2 linked regions of the Caenorhabditis elegans genome follow. The protein of the gene in region 2 purifies or fractionates together with the protein of the main gene of each other region. This does not show direct contact. Each region holds a gene or a part of one and is shown on either strand. Other genes may lie near its edges.

What was found. The genes of interacting proteins can lie anywhere in the genome.
Region 1: the proteins of nspg-9 (region 2) and nspg-14 fractionate together in Caenorhabditis elegans (co-fractionation; one large-scale study listed by BioGRID). This does not show direct contact.

The regions. Positions count from the first base shown.
Region 1 is NC_003284.9:5,250,749-5,256,781, forward strand, and holds nspg-14 (DUF19 domain-containing protein), read left to right. Parts: upstream 1-2,298; 5' UTR 2,299-2,374; coding exon 2,375-2,417; intron 2,418-3,051; coding exon 3,052-3,150; intron 3,151-3,199; coding exon 3,200-3,320; intron 3,321-3,575; coding exon 3,576-3,638; intron 3,639-3,688; coding exon 3,689-3,780; intron 3,781-3,831; coding exon 3,832-3,949; intron 3,950-4,008; coding exon 4,009-4,151; intron 4,152-4,202; coding exon 4,203-4,219; 3' UTR 4,220-4,320; downstream 4,321-6,033. Other genes in the region: Y34B4A.10 (aECM cysteine-cradle domain-containing protein), read left to right, coding at 1-454, 890-1,284, 1,348-1,468, 1,604-1,762, 1,814-1,882; nspg-13 (DUF19 domain-containing protein), read left to right, coding at 4,446-4,497, 4,559-4,683, 4,911-4,963, 5,013-5,167, 5,603-5,720, 5,769-5,914, 5,971-5,999.
Region 2 is NC_003282.8:14,453,965-14,463,384, reverse strand, and holds the start of nspg-9 (DUF19 domain-containing protein), read right to left. Parts: upstream 6,486-9,420; 5' UTR 6,386-6,485; coding exon 6,364-6,385; intron 6,363-6,363; exon of another isoform or gene 6,342-6,362; intron 6,205-6,341; exon of another isoform or gene 6,183-6,204; intron 5,986-6,182; exon of another isoform or gene 5,965-5,985; intron 5,583-5,964; exon of another isoform or gene 5,562-5,582; intron 5,445-5,561; exon of another isoform or gene 5,421-5,444; intron 4,863-5,420; exon of another isoform or gene 4,838-4,862; intron 4,702-4,837; coding exon 4,482-4,701; exon of another isoform or gene 4,461-4,481; intron 4,380-4,460; exon of another isoform or gene 4,359-4,379; intron 4,278-4,358; exon of another isoform or gene 4,257-4,277; intron 4,199-4,256; exon of another isoform or gene 4,178-4,198; intron 4,074-4,177; exon of another isoform or gene 4,053-4,073; intron 3,959-4,052; exon of another isoform or gene 3,934-3,958; intron 3,738-3,933; exon of another isoform or gene 3,717-3,737; intron 3,572-3,716; exon of another isoform or gene 3,551-3,571; intron 3,534-3,550; coding exon 3,446-3,533; intron 3,321-3,445; coding exon 3,257-3,320; intron 3,116-3,256; exon of another isoform or gene 3,092-3,115; intron 2,900-3,091; exon of another isoform or gene 2,879-2,899; and 15 more.

The sequences.
Region 1 (6,033 bases), on a different chromosome or scaffold from region 2:
TGAAACGGTGTCTGAAATTTCATCAGAGTTTGCTCCAGCTTCAAATGAGTCCCCATCAGCGCTCTCGTTCACAGAGTTCAATATTGAATCTATGCCAATAATCAAGGAGACTGATTCTCCATCATCTTTCGACGAAAAATCGAACATCGGACTAACTTCGTCATCTGTAGCTCCGACTTCGCCAGAAGTGCCTGTGACAACATCCGAATCGACTACTCCCGAACATGCAATCACTTCCGAAGCCCCTGAGCCAATTTCTGAAGTGTCAAAAGCAACTCCCCTAGAGCATCACTACGCAGAAGAGCGTGTCTATCCAACAATGGGCTCTGTTCAAGCTCCTATTGAATTTGTTGAAGTTTTGCCAAGCCAACAGACTGAAGTGGCATCTACCAGTATTGCCGAAACAGAAGAACCAACAACTACAGCTAAAACGCCCAAGAAACGCCGTCATAGAGTAGGGTTGATTTTTTTAATTTCAAATTGATAATTCCTGTTAAAAGGGCGGATGAGACCAACCTAGTGGGCTCGACGGCTTCGAACCTGATATTTTGATCATACAAAAGTGGGCGTTTTTATTTCAAAAAAGTTCAAGAAATTCTTCAATTTTCCAATTATTCCAATTATACTAATTTTAACTTCTTATAATTTCTTGAAAATTGGCCTACAAAAGTAGACTAAATTGAAGTTAAAGCTTGCCGACAAGGTATACTACTACATAGTCGCATGAAAATTATTTTTGATGATTTATTTCCAAGCATTGCAAATTGGTATTGTAGATCCCCTCGACCTTTCTTGAAGGTCTAAACTAACACCGTTCGAAATAAATGTTGTCAATTACAACAGAATTTATTTTTTATGCGAACTTAAAATTGAATTTGATATTTTCCAGCGAAAGCATCGAAAGCTGAAAAAAGTCACAAAAGTCACCGAGGCTCCAGCAGAAGTCACAGTACCCACGGAAATTGTTACTGAGCCAACAACTGAATCCGCAACAACTCCCACTACTACCACAACAATTTCCACCACCCCATTAGTCACAACTACACCACCAACAGCTCAATCTGCAATTGTAATTAAAACATTGCCGACTACAGTTGCTCCAAGCAAAGTGGGCGAGTCTTATCTCGGTGGATGGAATGAAGACGAAGCTGTAGTGGTCACAACATCAAAACCGTCTCTTGGATATGCAATCAGCCAATTCACACAGCTGCCTGAATCAATTGCTATCGACGACGACAAGTCAATTAAAGCGTACTATGAAAAATATTACGCTGAGTGGTATCAGTAAGTGTTTTTATAAAAAGATTTCAAAATGTTTAAGCAAACTATTTCCTTATTGCATTACAGAAAACACAATCAAGCTGCCGGCACCCCAGAGGCATCAGCCGCAACAGTTCCTCGAGAAATAAAAATAGAACTGGCTAAGCCAAACACAGCTTCTTTTGGATCAGCGACATTGCAACCCACTGTGAGTCATTTGCCTCGTCTTACCCAAATCATCTCTCTTTTTTTCTGTTTGAACACGACATCACTGTCAAACATGGGTTATCATCAATGCTATCGTTTTAGAAGCTATTAAAATCGAAGCCACATATTTTTATAGGGAATTTCTTCACCGTCCGCTGCAGCCGTAGAGCCGACAAAAGAACAACTGGACAAAGTTTGCGAATACGTGGGCAAAATATCCAAATCATTTGGAATCAAAGACCTTGTCGGATTCGCCAAGAACAATTGCCCTCTGGTGCAGAGCTTCCATCCAGCGGTATATCTCTCGAATTTATAGTCTTTTTGCATTCAAGTATTCTATTTTCAGTCCACCTGCGAGCAAATCCAGCATCTGATGAGTTACTGTGAAACAGGAATACTTGTAACCAACCAATGATCTCATACATCTTCCCAAACTGTGTATTTCTACTTTTGATGCCATGTTTTGATCTTTTTATTGCTAAATGTCACCAACTTCCCTGACAAATGTATTCTCTACCTTGTCCACAAATAATGAGATTCCATGACTTTTTTTCTAATAAATCTGGAACTGTAACAAGTAATTACCAGCCACGCCTTGTTTCCTGGCGTCATTTTAGGACTGAAAAGAGTTTTCGTCATTTTCAGAGCCGCTCCCTTTTTCATTTTCCATCAAAACTGAAAAAAAAGTGATAATGCAATTTGAAAAAGGGTATGACTATCATAATAAACGAAACGATAAACGTGCACATACACGCGTTAAGGAGAAAAAGAGGTGGGGAAGAGAAGGGGATGGTTGGCAAACCCATAAAGCGAGCCGGCCCTCGAAAGGTGGAGATTCAGACAGAAGTGCCAGCGGCAAAGTGATAACGGGAGACACGACTTTGCACTACGCCTGCTTCCCCGCGAAATGTGCTCTACCAATTATTGCCTGGCTGTTTTTGTACTAGTTGGTAAGATTCTTGACAGATTCTCTGTATCATGGAGCGCTTTTAATCGAAATTCTAGTAAAAACTAGGCACTATTTATTTGATTACCGATTTTTCAAAAATTCATAGTTCAAATGTCAATTGCTCACAACGATTTATCTAGGCACTCTCTTTTTCAAAATTTCGTTCAATTCCTGATTCTCGCATTCTCATTGCCTTTACCCCATCATTTACAAGTATTCAAAACTAAACAAGACCGTTCCACAGTTATTAGATTGGCAGAATTAAGTCTTGCACTAACCGGATTGCTTTTGCTTACTTATCATCAGTTTTGATAACGAAAAATTCCACGTGTTGCCCGGTAACGCCTAAATACTATTATGACTAAGTAACTTTTGCAAGATCGGGAACGTTCCCAAAATGAAATCTGCACAAGTATTAGACTACTGTAATTTCCTAAATCTAATGTGATTGTTGGTATTAGTTGCGTCACAACTAGCGGCGGGCATTTTCTTATCAAAAAGAAAATGTACGGTGGCACTGGATACGACTTTTAGAAACCAAACATTCCAGGCTCGATTATTTTTCAACCTATTAGAAGTTCTGGGAAAAAACTGAGAGACATGACCTTAAAAAATAAACCAATGAAAAGTTTCAGGCGTTGTGGCGGCACAAAACCCAAGTTTAACGGCATGCGATATCAATAACCAGCTAAATGTTTGTCAGAGTCAGTTCAATCAACTTTTGGGATTTGATGGTAATGAAACTGAAAAATAGAATTAAGCACAAAAGTTTTGGTGTTTCAGCTTCTCTCGGTGCTGCCAAATATCAAGACTTGAGAAGTGCCATTGAGCAGTCGTATGCCAATAACCAAGCATACGGGCTTCTTACAACTTGCGATGCCTTCAAGCAGTACAAGCAGTGCTAGTAAGTGACATAGTTTGCAATGTTGTGAGATTCACAATGTGCGACGGGAATATCTCAGTCGGTAGTGTGGTGATCGCAAGCAATCATGAGACCACTAGTTCAAGTCCTGCCTTTCCCTAGGATCACCCAACCTAGCTTGGGAATTAGAGGAATCCACTAATGGCTCGTGGCTTGAAACTAAAGCCTAGTGGGAGTTTAAAAACGGAACACCCTTTGATCCTTTAATTTTTACATCTCAAATCAACTGATTTATAGCCAACCAAAAGAACAGTTCTACGCATGTGCTCAGAACCCATACGGTCTTCTAACTGGAACCAAGTAAGTTCTCAATTCAATATATACTGTAACAGTTTTTGTCTGTTCTTCAGCAACAACGGCGCCCCACTCACACAGGATCAGGCTAATGGATACGTAAAAATCTGGAACCAACTTGATTTTGTCTGTGGTGCTGGATTCTCGAGTAAGATTAGCAATTATACTGTAATACTGAATACTAGAATTGAATTTTCAGTCTTTGCCAACTCTGAAGTTTGCGGCTCTTCTGTCTTTAACAACCAGACAGCTGCAATGAGACAGTGCGACAATGACTTCAACGTGAAGTCCATGGCTGACCCAGCTCAAGCTTGCGCGTAAGTTTTCAAGTTTTGTTTCCAATCAAAAAGAATAATGAATAATCTTAACTTTCTAGATACGTTGAGATCGCAGCCAACTGCTACTTCCAACTGTTCTGGAACGCTTGTAAGAAGCCAGAGATGGCCTACTGGGGTTGCAACTACGAGCGTACCGGTACCAATCTTCTCTTCCCACAGTGCTCTCAGATTTTCTGCACATGTAGGTTTTCAGAATGGGATGGGGTTTAAATAATGTTTATTTTATTTTCAGTCCACGAACGCGTCTGATCGTCTTTTGTTTAATCATCTCCATTTTTTGTTTTGGTCAAAATGTTTTATTTGAATTCACATTTTTGGGAATAAATCTATGTAATTTAATTCATAATTTTTTAATTTCAAAAATTTGTTTTCGTTTGAAATGCTTCAATGCATTGAATACTTCTGACTTTGTGTGTGTGTGTGTTTTTTTTTGCAAAATTAAAAATACATATTTGTGCTCACATTATGCTTTCAGATGTGGCAAGACCGGTGTTTGCCATTTCTTGCGTTGATTCTTGGATTGTCAGGTAAGTAAATTGAAATTAAAACTTGTGAAATATTTGTTTTAATCTTATTTTTTTATTCCAGGAGTCCAATCAGCCGGTCTAAACTGTGACTCGACGGTTTATTTTGAGTGCCAAACTGCTCTCAATGCGGTTTTGAGCATCAGCGACCCACAGCCATGGTTTGACCCCGAAAACTTCCGCAAGGAGGCAAGTTTTTAATACAATAGTTTCCACGCTTGCCATTCCATGAAATGATAACTGAATAAGGTGATATGACGAAGGGTGTGCATAGTGAAATGTGAAATGTGAGGTTTAGAACGTGTCGATGATAACTTTTAAGTCAATGGGATTAATTATGTCATCATGATTGTATTATAATCTGATTTTTTGATTATCAGAAAAAAGAGCAAAACACAATTATTGATTAAATTTAGGTGGAGACAAACTACCAGGCTCAAGGACCCAGTGGAATGCGTAAAGTTTGCAAGTCAGTACTTCACTAGATACTCTCTCTCGAATCCTGAATATAATTCCAGAGCTTTCCGCGAGTTTAAAGTTTGCATGGGCTCTGAATACGCGAACTGCATGTCTGCGGTCCATTTTGTTTCTGTATCGGCCACTCCATTCAACGCTTATCAATTTGTTGGACTGTTCAACCAAATGCACTTTGTCTGTGGAGCTGGATTGCAAAGTATGAATTTTTATTGTCATTTCCCGACGCGATGTCGGAATTGAATTTTGTTGAGTACACAATTACACATCTTTTTGGCATGGTATGAAGTTTCTAGAATAGGTGGAAAACACGGGGAGTGTCGAAATCAAACTTTCTGGGGCTTGCTGCTGTGGTAATTTATACACATTATGAGACTCTTAGAGGAATTTCTGAGTTATGATTAGAATAGGCATGAATACTAGCACATATTAGGTTTAAAAAAAACATTCAAGAGACGCAGGAAAATATGATATACATGGGAAATAGGTCCATCGCTGACCACAACCGAAGTCGGCTGCGCATTTACTATAAATTCCTAATTTGCTCAGAGATCAGAAATCGATTAACACAAAAATAGCGCCTTATACAGACTAATGGATTCCAACCGTAACGAGGTAACTTTCTTCATTTCAGCATACCTCCTTAATGAGGGCTGTATGTCAACTACTTGGAGAAGCCAAAGTGATGTCCTGAGACAATGCCGACTAGATTATGAGGTGAACAGTGACGTTGACGCAAATCAGGCTTGCACGTAAGAAGACCATCGGGTATTATTAAAAAACGCCAACCAAACTTACAGACAAGCCAATAAGTACTTGATTTGCTTCGAAACTCAGTTCAAAAACAACTGTGGTGAAAAATCAAACGATGCCATGTTCTGGGCTTGTGAATACTCAAGAGTCAATGTTTTTACTCGATTCCCTCAATGTGCAGCTAGATGTGTTTGTAAGTGAAACTTGAAAATTGTGAAATCTAGTAAAATTGATTTTGTTTTTTTGCAGTGCCATATAGCGGAGGAATCATCGGATGAGTCGAATAAAACGAAATGATGTCAGATACAAACA
Region 2 (9,420 bases):
TTCAAATCTTCAAGTGATTTTTTTTTCAATACTAGTATAAGTTCTAGGTATTATTAAAAAATTTTTAAAAAGTTTTCAACAATGCAACTGCGCTCCACTGAACAAAAAAAAATGTTAATAGCAAAATCAATACGTTTGGGACTTTCTGATTGAAAGTTTTGAGTTTATAAACTATAGCCAGTGTGAAAAAAAACTATTTGGGAAATAATTTGCCCGAAAAAAATATGTTTCGTTTCATATTATTTTCAAAAAGTTTTAGTTTTTTAATTGTTTCACTTCCATTTTTGCTTGCTTCAAAAATAACTTATTGAAGAAGTCACTGCAAAAAAGGGCGGGACCTTGTAAACCCCGCCTACAAAATGGACAAAGATTAATTTCGTTTTATTCCTGCTTTGTGGCATTTAAAGTTTTAATTTTTTTTTTTTTCAAAAAAATTATCGATTGTTTCAACTTGCTTTTAAATATTCAGGTTAATTTATTTTCAATATTCGATGGCTATGTGGACTATTTAGAGCTTAACTTGAATATATAAAATTTACAATAAAGAAAATGCGCTCCACTGAACGAATATTATTTTTTCGCAACAAAAAATTTTGATTGAACATTTCAAGTTTAGTATCTTTGTGCAAAAAACTACGAAAATTAGACAATTAGTTTAATTTGAAAAGTAATTTATGCGAAAAATTATATTCTGTTTCATATTATTTTCAAACTGTCAAGTTATTTTTTATTATTGGTTATTCAATAAGAATCCTTTTATGTAAAATCATTGTAACAAAATTCAAAAACCATAAAATTTATTTCAACGAGACACTACATTTACCGAAAGTCTATTTGCTCATTAAGAAAGGGGCGGAACCTTGTAAACTCCGCCTACAAAATGGACATAGATTAATTTTGTTTTAGACATGTTTTGCCGATTACTTAAGATGTAAAATTTCGGTTTTTAAAAAAAAAAATTATCGACTGTTTCAACTTGCTTTTGAAACTTCAAAATTTTTTTTCCAATATTCTAGCCGATTCTTCTGCATTCGAAATTGCGTAAACTTTAGTCTATTTGAGAAAAAACTACGAAAATTATACATTTTCGAATTATTAAAAAATTAATTTGAGCGACAACTCAGTCAAACCATTAGTGATCCAATTAGATAAAAACCATTTTAAATTTGGCACATTACTAACAAGCATTACTAATTTGAAATACCAAACTGTATTTTATTTCCCCCATGCTAAATTAGTTTTTCATTTCTAATTCAATTAAATTAGAAAAGTCATTTTAAATTAGAATTTGTACCCTTCTAATTATGACTGTGTTAACTTTGCTCGAAATCTAATTAAAAATGTTTTTTTTTACAATTAGATCACTAACGGTTTGACTGAGAAAAAAGTCTGTTTCATATTATTCTCAAATTGTCAAGTGATTTTTTGTTATTGGTTGTTCGTGTTTACCAACCAGCCGTTGACCGCGCCTACGGCGCGGGCACCTACCAACAGTACCCCCCCCCCCCACAGTACCACTACAGTACCTTGACATTATTCTCCACTAACTCCTATATCAACACCTCTTCAAAATGTTTTCAATAAATTGAAGTTTGAATTCCCGCCAAAATGATTTCAAAAAAATTTAAATTCGAACTTCGCGGCAAAATATTTATTTCCAGCAATTTCCCACCGAAAGTTTTAAGGGTCTCACCATGATGGGTCTAACCACGATAGGTCTCGCCACAAACATTCAGAATTTTCTCGAGTTTTTCAAAAGATTCTGGAACAATCCAAAATTTTCTCGAATTTTCGAGAAGGTTCTAGAACAATCCAGAATTTTCCCCAATTTTCCTGATGATTCAAGAAGATTCCAGAACTTTCCCAAATTTCCAAGAAGGTTCTGGAACATTCCAGAATTTTCTCCAATTTTCCAGAGTGTTCTAAAGTATTCCACAATAATATTATTAAAACATTTAAATTTGAATTCCCGTCAAAATGTTTTCGGAAAATTTCAATTTGAATTCCCGCCAAAATGTTTTCGAAAAATTGTTTATTTTTCTAAAACTACAGTACTACTACAGTACCCCGACCATATCCCCCTTCTAACCCCAAACCAATATCTCTCAAACATCTCAAAACGCATTGCCTCTTTAAGCTGTGACGTCACAGACTACAAAGACTACATAGACTACAAACTATGGACACACGGAATAAGTGCCAAAATGATTTTAAAAAATTAAAATTTGAATTCCCGCCAAAATGTTTTAGAAAAATTAAAATTTGAATTCCCGCCAAAATGTTTTCGGAAAGTGTCGAGTGGTTTATCGCGTACCTCGATCGATGTCGGGTGCGCATTCATCATAAGTAGCCTCAAAATTTTCTCAGTTGAATTTTTGCGCTGAATGTTGTGACGTCACCCGTGACGTCAGAGACAAACGGAATAGCGCTTTATATATGGTAATGATGTTATTACAGAACTTTAAAAAAAATTAAAATTCAACGAATAACTGCATTTACCACAAAATTTACTTGCTCTGAGAGAAAAGGGCGGAGCATCGCAAGCCACGCCTACAAACTGGACATAGGTACACTAATTTACTTTTTGACAAGTTTTATGGTAACACTTCTTCAACTTTTTTGAAAAATTTCTAGTGTTTCAATGTGTTTTCAAATCTTCGAGTTAATTTTTTTTGAGTTAGTCGCAGTAGGATATTAATAAACATAGTTTTGCGACAAAGCTCCATTGGATTGATTGAACATCTCAAATTTAGTATCGTTGTGCAAAAAACAACGAAAATTAGATAGTTAAATAGTTTAATTTGAAAATTAATTTATACGAAAAATTATTTTCTGTTTCATATTATTTTCAGATTGTCTAGTTTATTATTTTTATTATTTCTTGAATAAAAAATCAATTTATCTAAAATCAATGTAACAAAATTCGAAAACCATTAAATTCATTTCAACGAGATACTAGATTTACAGAATTTCCGAAATTCATTTAAAATTTCATTTTTTTATAAAATTTAAAATTCAATACTTTTTTCCAAAAAAAAAAATTTTACTGTTTCAATTTGCTGTGAAAACTCCAAGTTTATTTTTTCAATAATATTATTTAACTCAAATACTTCAAATTTCCAATAACTTTTAATGTGGTAAACTGCTAATATCTGTTCGAAAAATAGATTTCGCACTACATTTCAATGTAAAACTCAAAAAAATCCCCAAATTTTTCTACATTTTCCCCTCAAAATTCCAAAAAAAAAAACCCAACTATTAATTCCTGGGCCACAGTTGAAGGACGAGTATTGTCTATAGGTTGCCTCCACCGCGTAAGCCTGCAATTTTCGAAGATTTTCTTCTCATTTTTCTTGGCTTTCTGTGTGAAATACTTCTGTTTTTTTTTGTTTGAAAAAGACTAATTGCTGTTCCAATGTTCGTATTTTTAAATTCCAAAACTTACATTATTAATGTCAGTCTTCTTGATTAGGTTGTAAATGTCCAAACATCCACGGTTTCCGTGCATGCAGAGATTGAAAGTTTCGAGACTGCTGAAATTTTAGAAAATTGGAATTTTATTATTTTATGAGTGGAAAACAATTTTTAAAAACTGTATTATAATGTTTGTGAAACAGTAAAGTATTTTTTATAATTTTTGATTTTTCAGTGAGAATTTTCGATCTGTTTTAAAATATTTCCAATTGCATTTTTTGTTTTGAAAAATGCGCTTAAAGTCTGAAATAAACGTTGGATTACTAACTTTTCGGGAAATCGAATTGAATTTACAAAGTTAGTGAAATTGTACAGAACATTTTTTCCATTTAAAACATTAAAATTTTCTCAAACAGTTTCGAATTTGCAGTGCTCTTTCCTTTTATGTTGCATATAATTTAAAAAAAAATCGCTGTTTCAAATTTTTCAAAAAAATATTGGGACTTTCCAAATAACTAGTCACTCTCTTCAATAAACATTCGACTTTTAAAGGAATCATAATATGGAAAAAATGTTTGTTCTTCGAAAAATTACTGTTTGGTGTACTTTTTAATTGATATTTTCAACTTAAACATCGATAGAACAGATACTTCCTATAGTGTTTACAATTTAAAGCATTCACTCGAAAATTATGGAATTTGAGAGAACCATTTCTCACTATTACACGATTTCTAGTTACAATTAAACTTTATTAAAAACATAATTCTAGGGTGTGTTAAAAAATTGGAAAAAAAAAATGCTCCAAGTTCTCTATTTCAAACTGTTAAAAATATTCAAAGAAGTAAATACTGTTTTTTCAAAACCGGTCTTGTTTGTTTTCTATAATTTCCAACAAACATTGTTTCAAAGTTTTGTTAAAAATTCTGAATTTTCAAATGTCTCGTTGGGCTGTTGGACATGTAGAAAAAATTACAAAATTACTTTTTTAATCGAAAAGTTACTGTTTCACAAAGTATTAAAATCAATATTCTTCCTAACTTCAACATTGATAAATTTTCAAGACTAACTTGCAAACGGTCAACATATCGGCAGTCTGTCCTGGATTTCTTCCGAACATGTACAGGAAGTAGTTGTACATGATAGTATAGTCCTTGAACAATTGAGCAGATACCGTATCATTGAGCCCGAGGCTTTGAGCCATATTGTACTGGCAAGCTTGGAATTTTGCGTCGACGCATGTTGGAGGAGTTTGAGCAGAAATTTGGGTAGAAGCCAAGAGGGCAAGGGCTGAAAATTTGAAGTTTTTAGATTCATAAAGTTGGAGGAAAATTTTTTTTGAGGTTGGAAAATTTTCGTACTTCAAATTCAAAAAATTTTACATTTTTGGAAAATCGCCAAATAAGGAAAGTAAGAGCATTGCCCATTAGTTAGAAAATTTGTGACGTTTGTGATATGTATTATTTTTCACTTCTTGCGTATTTTCATTCATTCAAGAAAAAAAACGAGAAAAATTATAAAACCAAAGAAAAAAAAGAACCAAGATATGGGCGGAGTCTATTTCTTGAAAATTTTTGTTTTTTTAAGGTTGAGTAGTAGTCACAATTTTACATAAATTCAAGTATAGAAAAAGCAGAGCTAAAGTTTTTAAAATTTCAAGAAAATGTAATTATAGACCCCTTCCACATCTTGGTTGTTTGGGCAATTTTGTATTGCAATTTTTGCGGTAAAATAAAATTTTACTAATTGTAAAATAAGTGTGTGTAATAGAACTTACATCTTGTTTACTTAAATTTGGAAAAAAATTCCTGTTTCACTATTGTGATTTCGAAAAACCAATATGTTCTCCAATGTATCGCTGATAAAAGTACCTCTAATTATAAAAAAGTTTCTGAGATTTTTATATTCTAATTTAGTTTCAAATACTTGTAGCTAAACAGTTTAGGAGCCAAAAAATGCAAAATTTGCTTCAAAAATTTTGCATAAGCGCAGATTAAAACAAAAACCGATAATTCGTCGAAAACTTTGGCATCACATTTCGAAGCTCTAAAATTACTTGGAGTGTTTTTTCCATTAGATAAGTGTTCATATTGAATCAAAGTCCCCACTTAATCTATATTCACAGTTTGCTAATTTAATTTCATGTTAATTCAATTTTCTTCGAGTGAAAATTGAATTAAAATCAAAACCTTGAAGCTCAAAACAATGGTATGAAACAAAATTTTTTAAAACAAACTTTTAAATTCAGAGCCAAAATACAAGAAGCTAAGATATGGGTGGAGTATATTTTTTCAAAATTGAATTCAAGACAAAAATAGATTCACACTTTTAAAAAGTACCAAGAAAACTTCATATTAAACTCCGCCCACATCTTGGCTGTTTGGTTGATTTTGCTTTTTTTTTGTCAGTCGTAGATGTTATTTCTAGAAGAACTGTGCTCAAAAGAGTAATACAACCAGAGATTGATAGACCTTATTGAATTAAAAATTTAAATTGGAAAAAAAATCCTGTTTCACAATAGTGATTTAAAAATTCAAATTTTTTTAGTAGCGCTGGAAATGTGACAATAGCTAAATAGGAAAAATGTTAAAAACCTCTAATTCAAGGCTAAAAAAAATCAAATATCATGAATTATTACTCAGTTTTTGCCGTTAAAAATTTTGTAAGTTGACCAAAAAAGAAAAATCTCAAAATTTTTCGAAGATTCTAATTTTTTTCAGAACATTGACAGAACACTTTTAAAGCTCTAAAATTCAATATTTTAACGATACAAACTATGGAAACGGTTCAAAATATTTAAATATTTCATTTGAGTTGAAAACAATGATATGAAACAGACAATGTTTTAAATAAACATTTTCGAATTTTTAAAAATATTTTTTTCCGTTTCAAAAAATTAATATTCTTCTATCTTTTTTTTTATTTTCCAATATACAACAAAAATTTGCTCACCTAGAACCACAAATCCTTTCATTTCGACGAGCTTCTTCTCGGTAACTATTCTAATTCAAATAGCAAAACCAAGTGTCAACCAATTCTTCGTGGCACTTTTACATCTTATCAGACTCCCAATTCCCCAATAAAATCCTTATCAAGGTGTCGGCACACATGCGAGAGCCAACACAAATGGCATTAAAAAGTGGCAGAATTTCCGAAATGACGATTTGGGGTTGGGAGTATGGGTGTGGTTGTTTTCTGTTAATTTCTCAAAAAGAACTACACTTCATAAAAGAACTACACTTTTATGAACTTTTAGAAACAGTGACACTAAATTTCGAAAAAAATTAGGTGATATTCTTGGGGATTGTGCTAGAAATTACTTACATGGTCATAGGAATCTTAAATTAAAAGCTTCAAATCTTAAATGCAAATTGGAACTTTAAATAGGTGCAAAATTCGTTTTGACGTTCCAATTTCACTCACTATCAGAGAATTTACTGTTTCGAAATCTTCAGAAACAGAAAAGCTTTTGTTTGTTAGAAATATACACCAGAGTGAACATTATGTGCCTATTGCCAATAAGTTGCATGAAACTCTTTCAAAATTTGCTGAAACAGTGAAGAATTTATAAAGTCTCAACGGTATGTTTCGGTAGTTTTATATTCATCGCATGTGAGATTATAATTGCAACATTTTTTATTACCTCTGTTTAATAACATGCTGAAACGGTAAAAACTTACATCTCGCCGAGATAATAACGCGCCTCTAAGACGACAAAAAAATAAAAAATATTTTGCTAGGAGAAACGTGTCGAAAATCTTTGAAAAACTCGATTTTTGCACAGCCTAGACACTTTTTGATTGACAATTGAACACGAAAGGATGACTAAGTGAAAATTAGAACTACAACTTTATGAACTTTTAGAAACAGTGGCACTGAATTTCGAAACAAAATTAGGTGCTCTTCTTGGGGATTGCGCTAGAAATTACCTATGTTTTCGTAGGAATTTCAAATTAAAATCTGAAAATCTTAAATGCAAATTGGAACTTTAAATAGGTGCAAAATTCGTTTTGACGTTCCGATTTCACTCACTATCAGCATTGGGAATTTACTGTTTCGAAATATTCAGAAACATAAAAGCTTTTGTCTGTTGAAAATATACACCAAAGTGACCACTAAAGTGACATTAAATTGCATGGAACTCTTTAAAAATTCGCTGAAACAGTGAAGAATTTATACAGTCTCAACGGCCTGTTCTGGCGAGTTTTATAGAACACATGAAGCAATAAAAAAGTTGTTTCATTACTTCTGTACAAGCTGAAACAGTGAACACTCACATCTTGCCTAGAAAACCTCTAAAAGCCGAAATTGCATGTTTTTTTAAATCAATTTGCAGGCAACAAAAAATTCAACATTATATTGATAGGATAAAAGTGTTGAACATCTTTGAAAAACTCGATTTTTGCACAGCCTAGACATTTTTTGATTGACTATTGAACAGAAAAAGATTACTAAGTAAAAATTAGAACTGCAACTTTATGAACTTTTAGAAACAGTGGCACTAAATTTCCAAAATTTGTACCTATACATATGTGTTAGAAATTAATGTTGTTGTAGGAATCTCAAACTAAATAAATATGTAATTGAGAAAAAAAATTACATTTCATAATTATATGTTTTCCCCGAGAAAGCGGAGCGAGTATCGTAGCGCCAGCTTAAAGGCGCATCGCCTTTAGTGTTCGATGGGTCTCGACGCGATGAAATCTTGCCTTGGCCGCAGCGGCGAATGGTCATCATTCTACGTGTTGGTAACGAAAAAGGACGTGATTTTATCGATTTGCATCGATTTTTTTTGGATTTTTCTTTGATTTTATTGTATTTTTATCAAATTTTTAGTAGTTGTTAGGTTATTTATCGATTTTACTCGATTCTGTTGCGTTTCAAGCGTTTTTCTCGTTTCGTAATGATAAAAATGTGGTAATTTTTACGTTTTTCAAGAGTAATCTGAGCAGATGCAGGATTTGCAGGAGGAATTCATTTAAATTCTCAGTTTTTACTTGTAACGCTCAGGAAGCGTACTTTCGGAAGCTCAAAGGCTGATTTTCCCCTGCAACTTGGGCACTTCATTAAGTTTTATGTCCATTTCGAAATGGTCAGTGGTTCTCTCTCATCTTGGAGAATATATGTTCGTTTCTGTCTCTTCTCTATCTCTCTGTCATACGCGCTCTTTTCGGTATTGTTATTTTATCCAAGCTTTTTTACTATATAATGTTTAGTTCATCGCTCTCTCCCTCTTATCGCTCTTTAACTTTTCTCTTTCCATTTTTCGTGCACTCGCGCACTCGCTCTCTCTATCTCTTTATCTATTTATCTCTAACAAGCTACTTTGGTAATTTTCGCGTTAAAAAATCATGATCTGATGGACCAGGTCCCAAGAAAGACTTTCTATCGAGTGAAAGGCATACGTTTTTATGTGAAAGTGACTCCATGAGTCTTGTGAGTATTCCGATAACAATTATCGAGAGAATTTTGTGGATGATTTCCTTTGTGGTTACCAGGTAACCGGAGTCCACATCGCAGAAAGAGCAATTCTTTATCGCGAAATTACGAGTTCAGGCCACGGCAGGGCTGTTATCAAGTCCAATTCGGCTACATTAGTTGAATGAGAAATATTATCGTGCATTTATGTCGCTTTTAAATTGACTGGTTGAGCCAGATCAGAGTGTATAGGAGTACAAAGTCGACTCCGTGAGTCTCGAGTATATTCTGATTTCAGTTATGGAGATAATCCGTCAGCTGGTTTGTGTGTGTACGATTAGATTACCGGTAGATTTCGCAATTTACTTTTCCGTTATCTATCGTTTTTCAAGGTATCTCGTGTTCTCTTTTTTCTGGTGTATCTACTTCTCTTGATTATGTAGGATTTCTACAAGTCTATGAAGGACTAGCGCAAGATTACTAAGGAGAAACGCGAGTCTACGTAAGAGTGGCGCAGGTCTCCGCAAGAGTGGCTCAGGGCTACGTAAGAGTGGCGCAGGCCTATGTAAGAGTGGCGCAGACCTACGTAGG